Linked DNA regions of Ovis aries. The protein of the gene in region 1 interacts with the protein of each later gene in a biochemical or structural test. Links are inferred from orthologs where the notes say so. Each region holds a gene or a part of one and is shown on either strand. Other genes may lie near its edges.

Region 1 (6,025 bases):
TTTGGTGGGTATATGTACTCATCTTTAATACTGAAGAGTGGGGAATTCCTGGAGGCCTAGTGGTTAGGACTTGGCACTTTCACTGCTGGGGGATGGAGGAGGGAGGGGAGCATGTTCAATCCCTGGTCAGGAAACTAAGATCCCTCAAGCTGCACAGCTTGGAAAAGAAAAAAGGAAAAAAAAATACCCAAGAGTGGAAGTGATGAGTCAGAGGATAGAAGTCTCTTTTAGCACATCACTACACAATCTGGTAAGATTAGTATTCGTCAGGCTAACAAAAGAATAAGAGCTTTGCCCAGGGAGGAGAGTGAACAAAGGCATGAAGTCAAAGCAGAGAGACTGTCTCCTCCTGGAACTAGAAGTAGTTCCTTTGATTTACACCTAGAAATTGGAAGGCCGAGAGCTCTAGTAAGCTCTTCCCAGATGGCTCAATTGGTAAAGAATCCACCTGCCAATGCAGGAGATGTAGGTTGGATCCCTGGGTCAGGAAGGTCCCCTGGAGAAGGGCATGGCAACCCACTCCAGTATTCTTGCCTGGGAAATCCCATAGACAGAGGAGCCTGGCAGGCTGCAGTCCATGGAGTCACAAAGAGTGGACACGACTTAGCGACTAAACACCACCACCACCACCACCACCACAATCACCACAATCTGTAGTCCTACCTTGAGTGTCATTAATGTGATTTTGTATTAGGTTTCTTGCTTTATCTAGTCCACCCCACTCAACTGCAGAAACTAAGTCTGAGAGATAGGAAACTGATACATTGAAGGTCACAGATTGGAACTTCTTCTATTTCCCATGATTTTTTCAAAATAATTGTGGCGATTTGGTAAAGACGTCCACAGTTTCAGAATTTTTGAAGCACTTAACCCTTTTCGTACCTGTTTTACCTTATCTTGTACTGTTTATCATAGTCTTTAAAGCACCTAATCTCAATTCCTAATACAACAAATACATACTCATTGTACTTTCAACTATTTTAAGATTCTGAAAGTGATTCTTCAGTGCCTAAATATTTCTAAATCCTCTTCCCAAAGCAGCTTTGGTTTGCTGATTTGGTTTTGATTTTTTGCTTGTTGCTTAAATTTTTCTTTTTAATGATACTCTGCTATTGAGTTGTGTTAATGAAAATAATTAAAGTCTGTGATTTTTTTCCTCACCAATTTTCATTTCAGATGATAAAATAGTCCAAAATCCTATGGTGCAAGAAGCTATACGAATGGGATTCAGTTTCAAGGACATTAAGAAAACAATGGAGGGGAAAATTCAGACATCTGGGAGCAACTACAAATCACTTGAGGTTCTGGTTGCAGATCTAGTGAATGCTCAGAAAGACAATACACAAGGTGAATCAAGTCAGACTTCATTACAGAAAGGTATGCATGCCTGTGTTTTAAAAGCAAGATACACCTAGTATTTCATTATGGATGGTATCTTATATGACTATGTGGCCCATGCATTTTTCTCTCATATTTCCCTTAGGATAAATGTTTTTTAAAACTTTTTATTATGAAAGATGTCAAACATACTCAAAAATGGAGAGAACAGTATAATGAACCCTCAGATATCCATCAGCCAGCTTCAATAATTGTCAACACTTTTTCAATCTCACTTCCTTTCTTCCTCCAACTTTGTTTTTTGCTGTAGTTTTTCAGAGTAAATCCCAGACATCCTATATACCACTTGCCTATAAATACTTCAATAACTATCTAGGGACTTTTTTTTTTAACATGACCTTAATACTGTGTGTTAATCTGCTCAGACTGTTATAACAGTACCGTAGACTGGGTGGCTTAGACAGCAGACATTTGTTTTTCATACTTCTGGAGGCTGGGAAGTCCAAGGTTCAGGCAGATTTGATTGGTTCCTGGTGAAGTCTCTCTTCTAGGCTGGCAGATGGCTGCCTTCTCTATGTCCTCACTTGGCCAAGAGAGATAGTATTCTGCTTTCTATTCTTCTTCTTATAAGAACATTGATCCCATCATGGAGTCCCATCATCATGACCCCATGTAAACCAAATCACCTTTCAAAGGCCCCACCTCTAAGCACCATCACATAGGGTGTGAGGGCTTCAACGTGAGTTTTGGAGAGAAAGATATTTAGCCCATAATATACTATTGTCACACTTAACAGAATTAACAGTAATTCCATAATATCATCTGAAATTCAGTTGATTTTCATTTTCCTCATCATCTTAATATGTTTTTACAGTTGATTTGTTCTGATCAGGATCCAAGTAAGATCTACTATTAATTAATATCTATTAATTTTTAAAAGTGTAAGTTTATACTCTATTTTAGGTAAAGAACAACAAAGGCTAACTTTTATCGTTGTGTGTAGACTCTCTAAGTTTTTTAGTTGAAACTGCTTGGATTTAGAGTATTTTGCAACTTTCCACATGATATAAATATGTAAAAGGGTCATATTGCTAAATAGGGCTTGAATTAAATGCATTTTAATACTGTGATTCATATACAAAGTGTATTGAATAATGTAGAAGAGAAGTATATGATCATTCTCCAAGCTTTTGACCACCTCTACCAAAAGATGAGAATTCTCCAAGTACTAATGAACTTAAAAGTTCACTTATTTTGTTTTTTACATTCAAGACCCTTTTGATCTTTAAGTTATTTCAGATGCTTTTGAAACATTATTCAGATAATCAAATAAGTCTTAAAGCAGTATAACATTGATGAGTTTTATACTCTAGTTGGTGTAGAAGATTCAGCAGAAAGCAGACTACTCTTTTCCATAAAGACACATTTATTTAAAACCTATAATAGCTCCTCTTGTCTTGGTGATGGTGAAACAAATCATTTACTTTGTGATACAAGTGACTATGTCATTTTCCCCTGCATCTTCACCACAACTCAAACTTAATTAAGTTTGACAGTAAGGTGTTAGTTTTTATACCTGAAGGTGTTTACAGCAGAAGGATTTAGTGGGTTGCAGTAGGAAGAGAACAAAGGACAGAGTGCATTGGGGGGTGTCTCTATTCAACAGGAGTTTGTGGGAGGTTCTCATCATTACCAAGATTACAAGCTGGGGTTGTGTGGGAAAAAGGGCCTAAGTTAATGCCAGTTCTCAAGGGCAAATGTTAGAATTCATCAGTTGATGTCTCCTTAGTCTCACAAAATTGAGAGGCAGGTAATTGATACAGGCAAGCTTTTCACGAGGGGGCTGCTGTCTATTTCTCCTCCCAAAAGCTGATGAGGAAACACTGGCACTAAGAATCTTAATTCTGTACAAAATAGAGGGTGGGCCTAATTGAAGTAAAAGCAGATAAAATTTATTAGAAAAAAATATAATATTATTGTTACTCACTAAGAAATCCTAGATTCAATACTAGCTTTTAGACCATTGTCTCTGTAACAGAGAATACCCCAGTCTTCTAAAGATAGTACCAAATTAGTATCTTTTTCCCTTTCTTTTTAAAAATGACATTGTATGATATAAAGCCCTTTACTTCATGTCTGTGGTAAGATACTTATTTTAATCCTTATATATATATGATAGAATGTAATGTAAAAATCAAATAACCCGTGCACATTTCTTATCAGTCTGTCTTTCCACATAGATCTGCTCTGATTGGAACATGAATAACATCAGTTTATTCTAGAAGTATCTTCTAGAAGTGGTTTATAATAATGCAGTAAAAATATTAGCAGATACCATGAAAAATGATGTAGCTATTGCCTTTATTGCTATATGCCAGGTACCTCCCAACCTAGAAGAGGGCTTTGTGGCAAGTAGAAGGGGAAAGGTGGCTCAGGAAAGGATGTAGAACCCAGTGGTTATTCTTTAGGCTAGAGTGAAGTAATTCACACTTTTAGTACCAAGGACCCAGGTTCAATCCCTGGTCCCGGAGGTAAGATCCCACAAGTCATGTGGTGTGGCCAAAAAAAAACTCAGTCTGGAAAAAAATGCCCAGAGCATCACCATCTCAAGTAAGTGTATGCACTGTAATATGGAACTGTAAGCAATCAGAACCAAAGGAACTTTAAAGATCCTATAATAATTTTCATTACTTCAGAGAAAACTGAGGTGCTGATGAACTGTTACTCAAGATCACACAGATAGTTGGGAGTAAAATTCCAGTTTCCTGACTTCTGGTCCAGTGTTTGTTTATTTTTTTAATTGTGGGGAATTCCCTGGTGGTCCTATAGTTAGGACTTGACACTTTTAGTACCAAGGACCCAGGTTCAGTCCCTGGTCCCAGAGGTAAGATCCCACAAGTCACATGGTGTGGCCAAAAAAAAAAAAAAGTAAATACACATAAAATTTACCCTCTGAGCTATTTTTAAGTGTACAGTTCAGTAGTTTTAAGTACATTCACATTGTTGTGCGGTCAGTCTCCAGAGCTCTTTTCATCTACAAAACTGAAACTCTTTATCTATTGAACAGCTTCCATTTTCCCATTCCCCTGGCAGCCACCATTCTGCTTTCTGTCTCTGTAAATTTGACGACTGTAGGCATCTGATCCAGTGTCCTTTTTTATTCATTGTAGCATCACATGCAAAAGTAATGTGTAAATTAATTGTTTTCCTCTTCATGATTTTTTAGGGGATTACAAAGGTACTTTTAAAAAACACTTCGAAGGGGTAGTTCCCTCACCCCCAGGACTGGCCTGGGGAAGAGAAACTACCTGAGAGGAGGGAACCCCGAAAGAGACCTGCTGTGGACTCCAGGCAAAAGGAATGCCTGGGTACTGGGAGCTGTAAGCATGACGGGAGGAAGTGTAGCGGGACAGGCTCCAGGCACACAGGCGAAGCGCAAGAAGATTGGACAAAAAGCCACAAAGTTACTTGTGTTCCTTCTTTTCATTTGCCTTTTTCAGCTTCTACTGCATGATCTCCGAGTCGTTCTGCTTGTGGACCACAGCAGAAAGCTTGTCATCTCAGTGTTTTCTCTTAACCAAGTCACTCTGCTTTTCCATATTCCGCTGGCAGGCTGGCTTTTGCTGGTTGCCACAGTCTTGGTGATGGCAGGAATATACACTATTCTTTTTTGGTCAGGTGCATCCATATAATATAAATCAGTTTATAATGCCATCCCTTTACTTTTGTTGTTTGCTGTGCCCCGAATGCCTTTTTCCTGTTTGTATAGCTCATCTCATTCCCCACTGCACCCCCGATTTGATTCCCTAAACCCATTTCTTGAACTTGTCCTTCAAGGCTCAGCTCAAAGGTCACTCTTTGAAGTTTCCCCAAAGACCTATAGCACACTTTGCAGCTTTCTCTGCTCTCTCTGTTAAAGCATTTGTAACGTTGTTTTGGAACTTTTTCTGTCCCCTTCTATCTGTTAGGCTTCTTGAGGACAGACAGTTTATCTTTCTTATCTCTGTGTTCCATATTTGAGTTTTGAATTATGCCCAGGAGGTTGCCTTTTAAGAAAAAAAAGAAGCAAATAATCCTTTTCTCCATGGCTAGCGAGGAAAACCTTACTGAAGCAATTCTGGTATCTTTTTCCAGGTTAAAACCTTTCACTGGCTCTGGAGCCCTTGGTGTTAAGTCCATACTCCTTCACATGGGTTACCAGATCCTTCATGATCAGGCTCCTGCTAACCTTCTATAGCCTCATGCTATTTCCCCTTCACATTCTCTTCCCAAACCTTACCTGTGCACTTGCAGGCCTCATTCTGTTTCTCACCTTGGAGCCTTGCCTATATCATTTCCTCTGCCCAGAGCACTCTTCTCCCACTGCTCTTGTCCTTCAAGGTCTAAGGCTTTCTCCCTCTTTTAGTTTACTCGTACTTATCCTTTAGGACCCAATTTAGGTATAATATTTTCTGGAAGGCCTTCCCTCTGTGTATACATGGATACACAGCCTTCCTATGTTCTTCATAACACATTGTCATAACTTTAATCATTACATTGTACTATAATTTCCTGCCTACATGTGTTCCTAACTTGTCTATGAATGATTAGGAGCCCAGGATCTATATATTTGTTACTCTGTCTCTAATGCCTAGAACCTAGCTAAGTCTTCCATAAGCATTTGTTGAATAAAATTAAACCACTGTTT
Region 2 (6,025 bases), on another chromosome or scaffold:
TTTGTTGGTGGTTTTATTTTTTAGCCTAAAGTTTTCTTCTTACAGTATTTATGTAACTTAAAAGCCTTGTGATGCTGAATTAATTTATACCTAGGGAGTTAATTTCTTTATGTTGTTTATGTTGTCAGGTGTGATCACCTTCATTAGATCTTTCCTGTATTCTTAGGGCAAGTTAATTTTATTTATCAAAGACCTTAACATAGCACGTGGAAGACTTCAAAGAGACCTCATTGATGTTTTTGTCATCTCAGTACAATTTTAAAAACTGCTGAGTACAAGGTACTATGCTGTCAAGAGGTGATTGACATACGAACTTAGATTTATAGCAGAGAAGGGAAAGGGGAAAAAAAAAAAACGCAAAAAAACTCATGTTCTTCCTGTAGTGTTAGATATCAGTGTAAGAGCCAAATGGCAAGGTACAAAATATTACAGAAATACACATTTAGTTCAGTAATTTTATCTACTCTACTTTATTTTTCCATATTGGTCTCTCTAGCAAACGTCTGTCAGTTCTTCTCTGCAGTTGTGCTCTCCCTTTAAACCATGTGTGTTGTGTGTGTCTGTGTATATTGGACCTCTTAGTATTATATTTAAACTTTGCAAGTTACTACTGAGATCTGTTTAATCTTTACCAATTTTCTAGTTCTTTGTTTACATACTATGATTCAATACTGTCTAGTAAAGCTGTAATATATAACTAAATGTGTGGTTATACGTGTAAATTACAAATAGTATATTCAGAAAAATCAAGTTGGGGGGAGTTGTCAAATACTTTTGTGAAGGAAGTCCAGCTCTTTATTGAACATTGGAGAAAGCATGCAATTTAGATTGGCCTTTAAACTAAAGAAAATTACAGGCAGTAGGAAATAGCTTGAATTGAAGCACAGCAGAAGGAAATGAGCTGGACAAGAATATAGAGATGGAGAACAGAATAGGAATACAATGTGTGGCTGATTGTTAGAAGACTCCGAACAGGCATGTTGGACTTGATTTGATACATGCTGTGTTGTCAGTGATCGTAGCAGAGGCGTAAGCTGTAGTTAGGTACAGTTTTGTAGAAAGTAGTGACTGCATGAGGGAAGGAAAAACAGTGGAAAATTAAACAGTTGAATTACATGACTTTCTTTAAGCCAGGTATGCTTTGCTGGGGCAGTCAAATGATTAGTTTTTCTTTTGCCATTTATATCTAAATATTTTACTCTGGTCAGGTGAATAAGTCACAGAAAAGGGAAGAAAGAAAAAGGAATCTGAGACTTGGAGACATGAATGTTGATATTTTGGTTTTAAACATATGTTTTAAATCAGGTAAAGGTGAGCTGTTTACATGAACATATTCAATTGGTACTTGAAAGTATGGATTTGAACTTATATGAAAGATATGTCATACTGTTGGAAGCATCAGGAACGAGACATGGTAGTTAAACCTTTCATATAAATTTGATATAGGGCTAGAATATGGAATCAGTCCTGGGTGTTCTTTGGAAGGACTGATGCTAAAAGCTGGAACTCCAGTACTTTGGCCACCTCATGTGAAGAGTTGACTCATTGGAAAAGACTCTGATGCTGGGAGGGACTGGGGGACAGGAGGAGAAGGGGACAACAGAGGATGAGATGGCTGGATGGCATCACTGACTTGATGGATGTGAGTCTGAGTGAACTCCGGGAGTTGGTGATGGACAGGGAGGCCTGGCGTGCTGCGATTCATGGGGTCGCAAAGAGTCGGACACGACTGAGCAACTGAACTGAGCTGAGAATGTGGGAAGGCTCAGACAGAAACGGTGTGAGGGCTGAGACAAACAGGATCCATAATGGTTTCGGTTTAGGAGGAGGAAGAGGAATCAGTGAAGAAAACAAAACGTGGAAATAAAGTATCTTCTGCAAAGTTGCCAGGAGTTAACAACCTTTTTCTTTTTTGATTATTGTCTTAATATTTCTGAATTTAAAAAAAGTTACTATCTTCTATATATCTAAAAGGGTTAAAAAAGTTAATAAAAGATGATCACTGATTTTTCTCTCATAATATAAAATTCTAAGTTTTATTTCATTTCTGTTTTATTAGAGCACCGTTTGTCCTATCAAAGACATATATATATATCAGTCGTGTCTTAGTCAAAAGAACCATACTGATGTTGGACTTCTGTTAAGTGTGGTCTTACCTATCTAAAATGTGAAATTCATACTGTAAAGAAAATTGTCTTCTTTAGGGATGTGAGGGAATGTTTTTCGCTTACTAAAACTTGAGCCTAGTTTTTTGAGGAAATGTCTAAGTAACACTAACTTCTAATGAGAATATTTATACAGCTCGGAAATTCTTGAAGGTGCACATTTTAGACGTAGGTTAATTAAGATCTGTTAATTCAGATTTCACAGTGAGTTTGCTTTTTAAACTCCTAAGATTAAGATGATCAGATTCTGAATTAGTGGAGTTTGAATGAATATGATTACAAGGCATTTTCATCCTGTTTGGTTTTTATCACAGTTTTAAAATCATACTTTGTTCGCTTCTTCAAGCTGGACTTCTCAGTGAAATTTTCAGTATCAAATTAAGTCTTGTAAAATAGCGCATTGTACTTTGAATCTTTAGTCAAGGAAGTGAAGATTATTGATAGGTTGTTAGTGTAACATTTCTCTTTTTAGAGTTCCTTTTTCTCATCAGTGTCTCTCAAATCCATATTGCAGTAAACACTCATACTTTTTATCGCTTACTATTTATTTATTATGTGATTGATGATACTGCATTAAATATTGTATAGATGAGCCAGTAGGTGTTTATTGTACTGGAATATTTATTTAGCTTGAATAAGCTTTTTGCCTTGTCCAGAGCTTCGGTCACATTGATAAAGAATGTGATACATTTTTCCCCCCATATTTAAGAATGATGTCTTTTGGTGATGAGAACTTTATGTCTATATATTTATATATTTCTCATTCACTTTATGCAAGCTTATGTTTTTATTTCGTAATTATCTTGGTATGTTTTGAAAATTTAAAAACCCATTTCTTCCCCCCTCAGTTTAATTACTTTCTTTCTTAACTGCTAGGATCTTAGTGTCCGTGACTGGAAGCCAAATTCTGTCATCAGTGTCATTAGCATAAATGTATTTATGAGTCGATTTAAAAAATAAAACACATAAGCCTTTCTTTTCACACTTAGCTGCCTTTTAATTGCATTGCTAATATAAACATGATATATTTTGAGCTTATTTTATTTTTATTATTATTATTATTTTTTACCATATATTTTAAAACAGACATGGACCAAAGTCAAAATACTTGTTAATGAAAATGGAATGTGTTTCAAAGAGAGGGAGATTGTGCTATAATTTGTACTTGATGTCTGTTGCATTTCTTTGCAAACGCTTCAAATCTCTTTCCTCCTGTTTCTTGTGGTGGTGGCTTTATATACCTTTAAAAATAAAATATGAATTATAGGTAAAATGAAATATGGTTAATATTTTTATAATTATTGAAACTTGTGTTTATGGAATGTACTATAACTTTGTTATAGGTTATATTTTCTTCTGAATGTGTAAGGATTGGTATTTTGTGGTTTTTATTCTGTTTTACAGACTTTAAAATACTGCAGCAAATACCTGTTTTAAAAGTTCCTTTTAATATTACCTCATATTGATGGTACAAATTAGGGAAAATCTGGTATTGATTATATTTTGCTGTAGTTTATTTCCACTGATTTATTTCTATCTATGTATCTCTGTTATTTTGTAACCATTGATTTGTTTTAGTTGGGGCATTAAAGATGCAAAATTACTACTTTGTGTCTGCTGCTAATACTAATCATCAAAATAGCTTTTGACAGTTAAAAACATTTCCTGTGAAGTGATACTAGTATGTATTTGACCATGCAGATCCTCAGTTTGTGGTCTGCCAGCTAAAGGTGAAGATATATTCCTCCAATTCAGGACCCACACGACGGGAAGACAAGTTCATGTACTTTGAGTTCCCTCAGCCGCTGCCTGTGTGTGGTGACATCAAAGTAGAGTTCTTCCACAAACAGAACAAGATGCTAAAAAAGGTTTGCTCTTTACTTTTGTTGGGAAAAATATCCAAAATAGCCATACCTTGAATAGTAACCTCAGATCTTTTGCTTAAAGCATTTAGTTGGGCAGAAATCATTCTGAAAGGAGAGACTAAAAGATGTGTTTTCTGTCTGACATCTAATAAATCATGAATAGTTTTCTACTAAATCTGCACATGCTTTGCTTACTATGGCATCAGTCAGCCGTTATAGTGGTACATAGCCCTAGCAGAAGGAAAAGGCCATCTGACTTTGTAATTTGAGATGAATTTTTCTTAACTTGGCTTATGCAAATAAACTCTATAAAAGTATTGAAGATTGCATATGTACCCCATTCAATCGGCTACAGTCCTGTTAGAAGAGACGATTGATTAAACTGAGAAGTAAGCATGGGGCACGAGTTTGAAAAAACATTTTGGTCTGTTTGTATAAATAAAATCTGTTTCCCCCATTTTGGTTAATGCTTGTTGAGACTGGGTCATTTTATATTTAGCTTCCTCAGATTTACTGAGGAAGTAAATTTATTTCAATTTTCAGCTAGGCGAGGAATAAATATGAAGAGGAAGTAATAAAGAATGAAAAAATGTGGTATTTAAATATACACGTTTAGAAAGTTAGTGAGGTTTGCATCTCACTGAGCTATGTTTAGAGAATATAGGAGCTCATTTTAAAACAAACAGTCTTGGTTTAAAATACTAAGTGTGAACGTTTAAGGTGAGCCTAAGGTACAAAATATTTAGGTAGTAATGAGCAGAAACAGTAGCTGTGTGTATTGTTACTGCCTCCTAAACATACCAGGTAGTAGTGTATCACTAATTTTTAGACAGTCTCCATAGTCAGACTGATTTCATTTTCCTGAATTTTAGCTTTTTGTTGTTGTTGTTGAGAGAAAATGAGGAGGCTTCATTAACTGCAAGAATTTTGACTTCTATTTTGCTTATCAGAAGAAATATATTTTTTTTATCCAGAATCCAAGTAGCTGGAAAATCACAAGATGTAAAACTGATTTTTTTTCACCAGAAACCCATTTCCTATGTGTACTATATAAATAAAAGTTAAGTATATCTCCATAACTTTGAAAATATATTTTTCAATAATCCAAGAGGTATTAATAATTGTTTTGCAGTTAAGGTAAATTTTTTCTTTTATTCATCATAAGACTAGCACACATAAAAATTTTATATTTTGCTTTTAAAAATAAACACCTGTATCACTTTTTCTATACTTCTAGGACTGCACTAATTCTTATTCTTCCAATTTACATTAACACATGTAAAATTGAAGGTTAAGTTAAATATTTATAATACTTTGTTATCTTGAATTACCTTATTTATTTTCATTTTATGTGATTTTCCTTGCATGTTGCAAGAGTTTGGTTTGTTTTAAACAAAGCAGTTTTTCTATAATTAGTGCATTAGCACAATCCACAGTTTTTGAAGTTTTAAATTTTGCTAGTTTATTTTCTTCGGACTCTTAAGTATGTGTGTAGTTACTAACTCAGTAACTTTTCTAAAATAATTGAAATTAATAAAACAGTTTTAACAGATTTCTACCACATTATTGCTGTGCTAGGTGCTGTTAAAAGATACAAAAACATTTAAGAGATAAGTTTCTTAAGGTTCTTACCATCTTCCCAGGAAAATAAACTTGAAGATAAATTAGAATAAAAGATTTAAATGGCAGTTTAAGGTACCAGATAAGATGTCACAGGGTTGTACATCATTAATTGTCAAATGATGTATACAGGCCAGTTCCACTAATCTAGAGAGAGAACAGTTTCTACGTTGATCAGGAAAGGTTTGAAGTAGTGAATTTCTGATGTGATTTTTTTTTTTTTATTTACAAGACCTCATTATTAGTAAGAAGTGATTTTTTTTTTAGGCAGGCATTTTGTAACAACGAAAAGTTGAAGTTCATAACACCCTTCAGTGCTTCATTGGAAAGTTGAACTGACATTTCAAGAGCTTTTGTTAAAGTAAATTTTGTAAT
Region 3 (6,025 bases), on another chromosome or scaffold:
CAGGTACCCACAGAATGGGGACTCGGTACCCTGAGTCTCCAGTAGCTCATTTCTGAGTCAGGTGCTGTGGGTGCGTGCATTGGGTTGGTGGCAACTAACTTCTTGCCTTCCTCGAAACCGTATGTGGGATCTGTGATAGCTTTGTCTGAAAGTGGCTTTGTAAATGCCCACGGTATGGGGATTTCCTAATTATAGTGCATATATTTACACAGAGAATTTTGGTCATTGGATTTTTCCCTTTTTTTCCCCCCAGTAGAATCAAGGCATCTTTTGGCCTGGGATGTCTTGGGGTGGGAGGAGTGGAGTGAATGATTAAGATGGAAAACTGCTGCGGGGACAGAGGGGAAGACACTATCTGTGCCTTTGCCTTAGTGCTTTTTCATAGTAGCCTCTTCAGTCTCTAACATCTGATGGGCATCTCATCAGAAACAGCTTCAACCCTCCCCTCGACGGTGGTGGTATGCTGAGAAGGGCTGCTGTGTGGTTCTGGGGGAGTCTGGGAAGGGACACTGGTGGATGGTATGTCAAGGTGACCCTTGGGCCACCCGCTGTTGGAGGTGGGCCCAGGTATCTGCTGATGCCTCTGGGTCAACGTTTTTGTGATGAAATAGTTGAGACCAGGGAAGCCAAGCAAGCAGGTCATCTTTGGTGGGTGTTGCTGCCTCATCTGGGGCTTCCCTGGTGGCTCAGTGGTAATGAATCCACCTGCAATGCAGGAGCCGTAGGAGATACGGGTTCAATCCCTGGGTTGGCAAGATCCCCTGAAGGAGGGCATGGCAACCCACTCCAGTATTCTTGCCTGGAGAATCCCATGGACAGAGGAGACTGGTGGGGTACAGTTCATAGGATCGTCAAGAGCCAAGAGTCAGACACGACTCAAGTGACTCAGCACAGACGCACGTGCATGTGAGTGGGAATTTCCTCAAGTGCTGGAAAGATCTTTGTCTGTGAGCCCAGGTCTGGGATCTTGTCTTCACCCTCCTTTTTTAGTTCTTCTGACCCACAACACAGAGCACAGGATCTTTAAGTATCTTGCCTTTGTTTCTGTTCTTAGGTCAGGAAGATCCCAACAGTCTGCGCCATAAATACAACTTTATTGCCGATGTCGTGGAGAAGATAGCTCCTGCCGTGGTTCACATCGAACTGTTTCGCAAGTAAAGAGCACCTTCCTTTTTTTCCCCCAGTCTCTGAAGCTCCCACCAAAACTGCTGCCATAAGCAAAACATCAGAGCTATTTCTGAGACACTTTAGAGTGTCACTGAATACAGTCCTACAAGAAGATAAGCATCTCCCTTGGGATGTTTTCCTGTTTGCCTATTGAAATCTACATTCTTGACCCTTCTAAGATGTTTTAAGAGCCTCCGGTTCTGAAGAGATTCCCTAAGAATATTTTCTAAGTGGAAGTTTGGGATGTGAATAAAAGTCAGTCTAACATACTATCTTTTAAAGTTTAATAAAGCCATTGTGCAGAGTAACAATTGCTAGTGATAAGTGTCTGTTGCTGTCATAGAACTGACGCATCAGTGTGTCAGAGTGTTGACTTTAAATGTTTCAGCTTTAACCAGGTACTCTTTTTGGTTCTAGGCTTCCTTTTTCTAAGAGGGAAGTGCCGGTGGCCAGTGGGTCTGGATTCATCGTGTCCGAAGATGGACTGATTGTGACAAACGCCCACGTGGTAACCAACAAGCATCGGGTCAAAGTCGAGCTGAAGAATGGCGCCACCTATGAGGCCAAGATCAAAGATGTGGACGAGAAGGCGGACATTGCCCTTATCAAAATTGACCACCAGGTAGGTGTGTTCCCCACCTGCAGGACCAAGTTCTCAGGTGCCTTGGCTGACGCTTGGCTAAGTCCGGAGAGTTCAAAAGACACACCAGAACTCCCTGATTTTGTGAGTTTCTCAAGTGGGACGGAGCCAGTTAGGTCTGGATCAAAGGAGAGCATTTGGGAGATGCTGAGTGTGGCCTGGGGTCGGGAAAGGGTGGGATCGCACGGAAGCTTCTTGAATAAGCAGGCTATAAGGTCAGAGTTTTAATAATAGTGTTCTAAATTTTTATCAAAGCAGTAGGCTTATGAAGAAATGGGTAGGTAAGCAGTGAAAACTGAGTTTCCGTTCCATTCCTACCCCTCAGGCAACTGTTGCTACAGATTTGTGTTCTTTCGTGCACTCACCATGTATAAAGAATTTACTGGGTTTTGAAGTTAACCATCATTAGCATGGAAACAGCTACTCTGAAAACAAACCAGGTCTCCCACACTGGGCTTTTGCAAAGTTACTAGATGTGTTTTAAAACAGTATTTCACACTCAAAAAAGTTTTGGAAACCTTGAATTAAAGCTAATAGATTTTGTCCTCATAGCACTTCTCAAAGCTTTTCATATGCTGATGTGCATAGGACCCTCCTGCAAGAGTGTGACTCTGAACTACAACTATCTGAGCATAGAATTTTTTTTTTTAATTGAGATGTAAAGAGCTCAGTTTGGGAAATGGCTTGCTTTCTGTTGAAATATTCTCCTTGTAGTCATTTTTGTTCTGTTGATTTGTTTAGCAAAATCTTCATGTGTGCATGCTAAGTTGCTTCAGTTGTATCCAACTTTATGCGACCCTATGGACTGCAGCCCGCCAGGCTCCTCTGTCCATGGGATTCTCCAGGCAAGAATACTGGAGTGGGTTGCCATGCCCTCCTCCGGGGGATCTTCCTGACCCAGGGATTGAACCCGTGTCTCTTATAGCTCCTACATTTGACAGGTGGGTTCTTTGCCGTTAGTGCCCCCTGGGAAGCCCAAAATCTTGGCTGAAATCAAGTCCAGTTTTTATCAGACCATCAACAGTTCCCACTTGTTGGTATGTTGATAACAGAGGTTTGGTTTGCTAAGCGGCAAGTACCTAGTGAGATTGAATTTTCTGGTTTTTCCACACTTTGTCATTTTTCAGACTTCATCTGGAAGGAGGAATAGGGATAGATTGGAATCTTGTTTCTGGACCAGGAGAAGGTCATAAACTGAGAGGCAGAGAGAGGTCTTCTTTTCCGGCTCTCTGTGTCTTTTACCTGATCTGAGCTGTGAAGTCAGACCACGGTGAAATAGCATAGGCTGTTTTTGTTTGTGCTGTTGATCAGAGCAGAAACAGGCCCTGTGCCCAGCGTAGGTAACTGACCTCTAGAGAGGTCTCGATTGCATACTATTTCTGTTAGGTTACCATGGGATTTCTGTAACAACTCATCTTTCAAAATGTGTTTATGGGTCATAGTATAGTCATACTAACTTCTGTTTGATAAGCTCCAAAACTGGACCAGGCTCTGCCTTCATTTATAACTTTCACCTGTTCTGTCAATGGCTTTTATCATTCCCATTTTACATAGGAAGGAATAGGGATTCAGAGAGCTTAAGTCACCCGCCTGAGACCACATAGCTAATACTGTGGTGAAATTATAGCCTCCTAAGCTGGACAGAGGGCTTCCCACAGGGGGTGCGGTTTGGATCCCTGGGTCGGGAAGATCACCTTAGAGGAGGGCATGGCAACCCACTCCGGTATTCATGTCTGGAGAGTCCCATGAACCAAGGAGCCTGGCCGTCTGTGGTCCATAGGGTCGCAAAGAGTCGACCATGGCTGAAGCGACTGGGTACACACAGGCAAGCCTGCCAGGCTCCCCAAGTGCCACGGAGGGATGAAGCCTGACCTTTTGGTGTGATGAGATGGCTCAGCTTTAAATAACCCACGGGGAGGCTGGCACACCCCGGTGTAGGATCATACAGCTCGCAAGGTGTCCAGGATGTGGTAGTCTCACCGGAAGGAGGCTGGCCAGAATAGCACATCCTGTGGCCACACGCAGGACTCAGCTCCCCCAGCCCTGGGGAGGCTGCCAGCCATGCGGGCTCTCTCTGCAGGCAGGGCGCTGGTCTGGACCCTGCATGAGCTGCTCCTGCTGAGTAATTTCATGTTTGGCATTCGTGGGAGCATCCCATGCAGCTGCTGTGGCCGGGGGATATTCTTTTCAGCTTCTGAGCCGAGGTGGAGAGCGGGTTCTCCTGTCATCCCTGGCAGGTCCCAGCAGGATGTGGATTATCTCGATGGACCAGCTTTGCAGGGTGTTTCTGACCTGGCTCTTGCTGTTCCCGGGAGGCTAGCCTTCCTGCCAGCAGCAGGCTATTTGAGATGAGTTTCTAGCCCCAGAAAAAGGAGCTTGAAAATTTAAAGTCGAACTAATGTGGCTTTGCAAAATGGAATCGGAAATGAAAGGATATTAAATTGCAGACACCCACACAAGAGACTGGTTTCCAATGACTAAACTGTTTTTTTTTTTTTTTTGCTGATAGTAGTTGGAAGTGGGGAAAGTGAAAACATCTCTTCCAGCTCTTTCCATTTTGTTCCCTTAGTCGGAGGATTGATTATTTAGGAGAGGGGGCAGGGACTGGTTTGTAATGAGGCTCAGTTTGGGAGGAGCCCCTTGATTCAGTGACGACTACGGTGCCCCAGTGCAGGATTTTATAAATGTGTCTGCAGTGCTGGGGATGGGGGTTGGGGGGGCAGTGAGCTTACCTTGCACTGTGTCACCTCAGGAGCAAGAAACAGAGCAGGGAATCTCAGAGGAGGCAGAACAGATCCAGCAAAACTTGAACTTGAGGATCGAACTCATTCCAAATGGCGCCTGCCATCTGAGGTCATGGCTCACTCTCCCCAGGGCTATTTGCTCATAACCCAGTGAAACTGGGGTGACTGCCCCCCACATACGCCGGCCCAGTGGCTAACTTGGTGTCTTATAATGTGGGCCCATTTCCTCCTCCAGTGCCAGGATTTCACGTGAAAGGCTCTCCATCAATAACACTGAGACCCTCCTTCCTGAGTGTGCTATTCCTGCCACTTTTAATGAATGGAAATTACTATGGACACCTGTGGTCACTGCCCACGTCTTCTGGGCGCAGAGGCCAGCATCTCCTTCTGGATCTATTTCTGCCCCCCACCAGACAGTCTTGTGGGGGCACCAGTCATGGCACACCCCCCGCAACCCCCCTGGGGCCAAGGGACACAAGATCCATCAGACCAAGCAGATCCTTCACTTGGAGCAGGAACTGGATGCCAACCACAGGAAAATGACGGGGAAGCTGGTATGGCCCCTGCCGCCGGGGACCCCAGGGCTGTCTGAGCTCCTGCCTTTTCAGAGCCTGATCAGCCAGCCTACTTTCCCTTTCATTCTTCAAGGCCCCCTCACATCTTCTGTAAACCCGCCTGGGCTTGAGCTTGCCAGAGACATTTCTGGGCTTGTGACCAAAGAGCATTTTTGCTCCTCACTGCTGAGCGGGCTCGTGTGCACTCACTTCCCCTGCTGAGTCTGAGCAGGGGAGAACCTTTGGGGGGAACCTCCCTGAACAGGGCAGCTGCCCCCGCCAAGCTGGAGAAGGAGGGTGTCCCCTCCAAAGGCAGCCTGCCTGCCCAGACATGTCTTTCCACTGCCCTTTCCTCGGGGCCACGGACGGGGGCCAGCATTCGCCCGGGGCTGGGGAGGTGGTGCCAGCTGCAGGAAGGAAGGACAGTGTGCCTGCAAACAGTTTAATAGAAAGCAGCTTTGAGGGCAAACTAGTTCAGCCTCAGATAAAAACGGATTCCAAAATGTGTTGAACATGACGCTGGCCGTGTGTGCAGAACACTTAAAAATGTTTTTCTCCAGAGGCCGTGTTTTGTCCATGCAGCGTTTTTTTGCTGAGTAGTTCAGGAAAAGAGAGAGAGAGAAAAAAATATATTTGGTTTCTTTAGGTCAGAGTGAAGGACAAAAATAAGTACTGGGGATATACTGAAGAAGGTAAGAAAGTAACTTTTGTTGCAGCTGTTTTTCCAGCTGTGTTGGTTAGGAAAGAGGAAGTGGAAAAGCATCTGTGCCCACCCCCCAACCTCCCCCACCCCCACCACCCTGTCCCAGGACTGCAACTTTCAGATCAGGTCCTATCTGCCTGTACAAAGCCCTTCACACTCTGTGCTTATGGAGAAATCTTACTTAACCAGAGATTTAAAGGTGTACCCAGTTGGGGGT

What was found.
Region 2: of the proteins of XIAP (region 1) and PTEN, one has a biochemical effect on the other in vitro, tested with the Homo sapiens proteins (2 studies listed by BioGRID). The link is inferred for Ovis aries from reciprocal best matches to the Homo sapiens genes XIAP and PTEN.
Region 3: the proteins of XIAP (region 1) and HTRA1 form a complex in vitro, tested with the Homo sapiens proteins (2 studies listed by BioGRID and IntAct, with this or other methods). The link is inferred for Ovis aries from reciprocal best matches to the Homo sapiens genes XIAP and HTRA1.

The regions. Positions count from the first base shown.
Region 1 is NC_056080.1:107,875,876-107,881,900, forward strand, and holds part of XIAP (E3 ubiquitin-protein ligase XIAP), read left to right. Parts: intron 1-1,176; coding exon 1,177-1,377; intron 1,378-6,025.
Region 2 is NC_056075.1:9,328,272-9,334,296, forward strand, and holds part of PTEN (phosphatidylinositol 3,4,5-trisphosphate 3-phosphatase and dual-specificity protein phosphatase PTEN), read left to right. Parts: intron 1-3,866; coding exon 3,867-4,033; intron 4,034-6,025. UniProt on the Homo sapiens protein: Dual-specificity protein phosphatase, dephosphorylating tyrosine-, serine- and threonine-phosphorylated proteins.
Region 3 is NC_056075.1:41,838,080-41,844,104, forward strand, and holds part of HTRA1 (serine protease HTRA1), read left to right. Parts: intron 1-1,054; coding exon 1,055-1,154; intron 1,155-1,584; coding exon 1,585-1,789; intron 1,790-6,025. UniProt on the Homo sapiens protein: Serine protease with a variety of targets, including extracellular matrix proteins such as fibronectin. HTRA1-generated fibronectin fragments further induce synovial cells to up-regulate MMP1 and MMP3 production.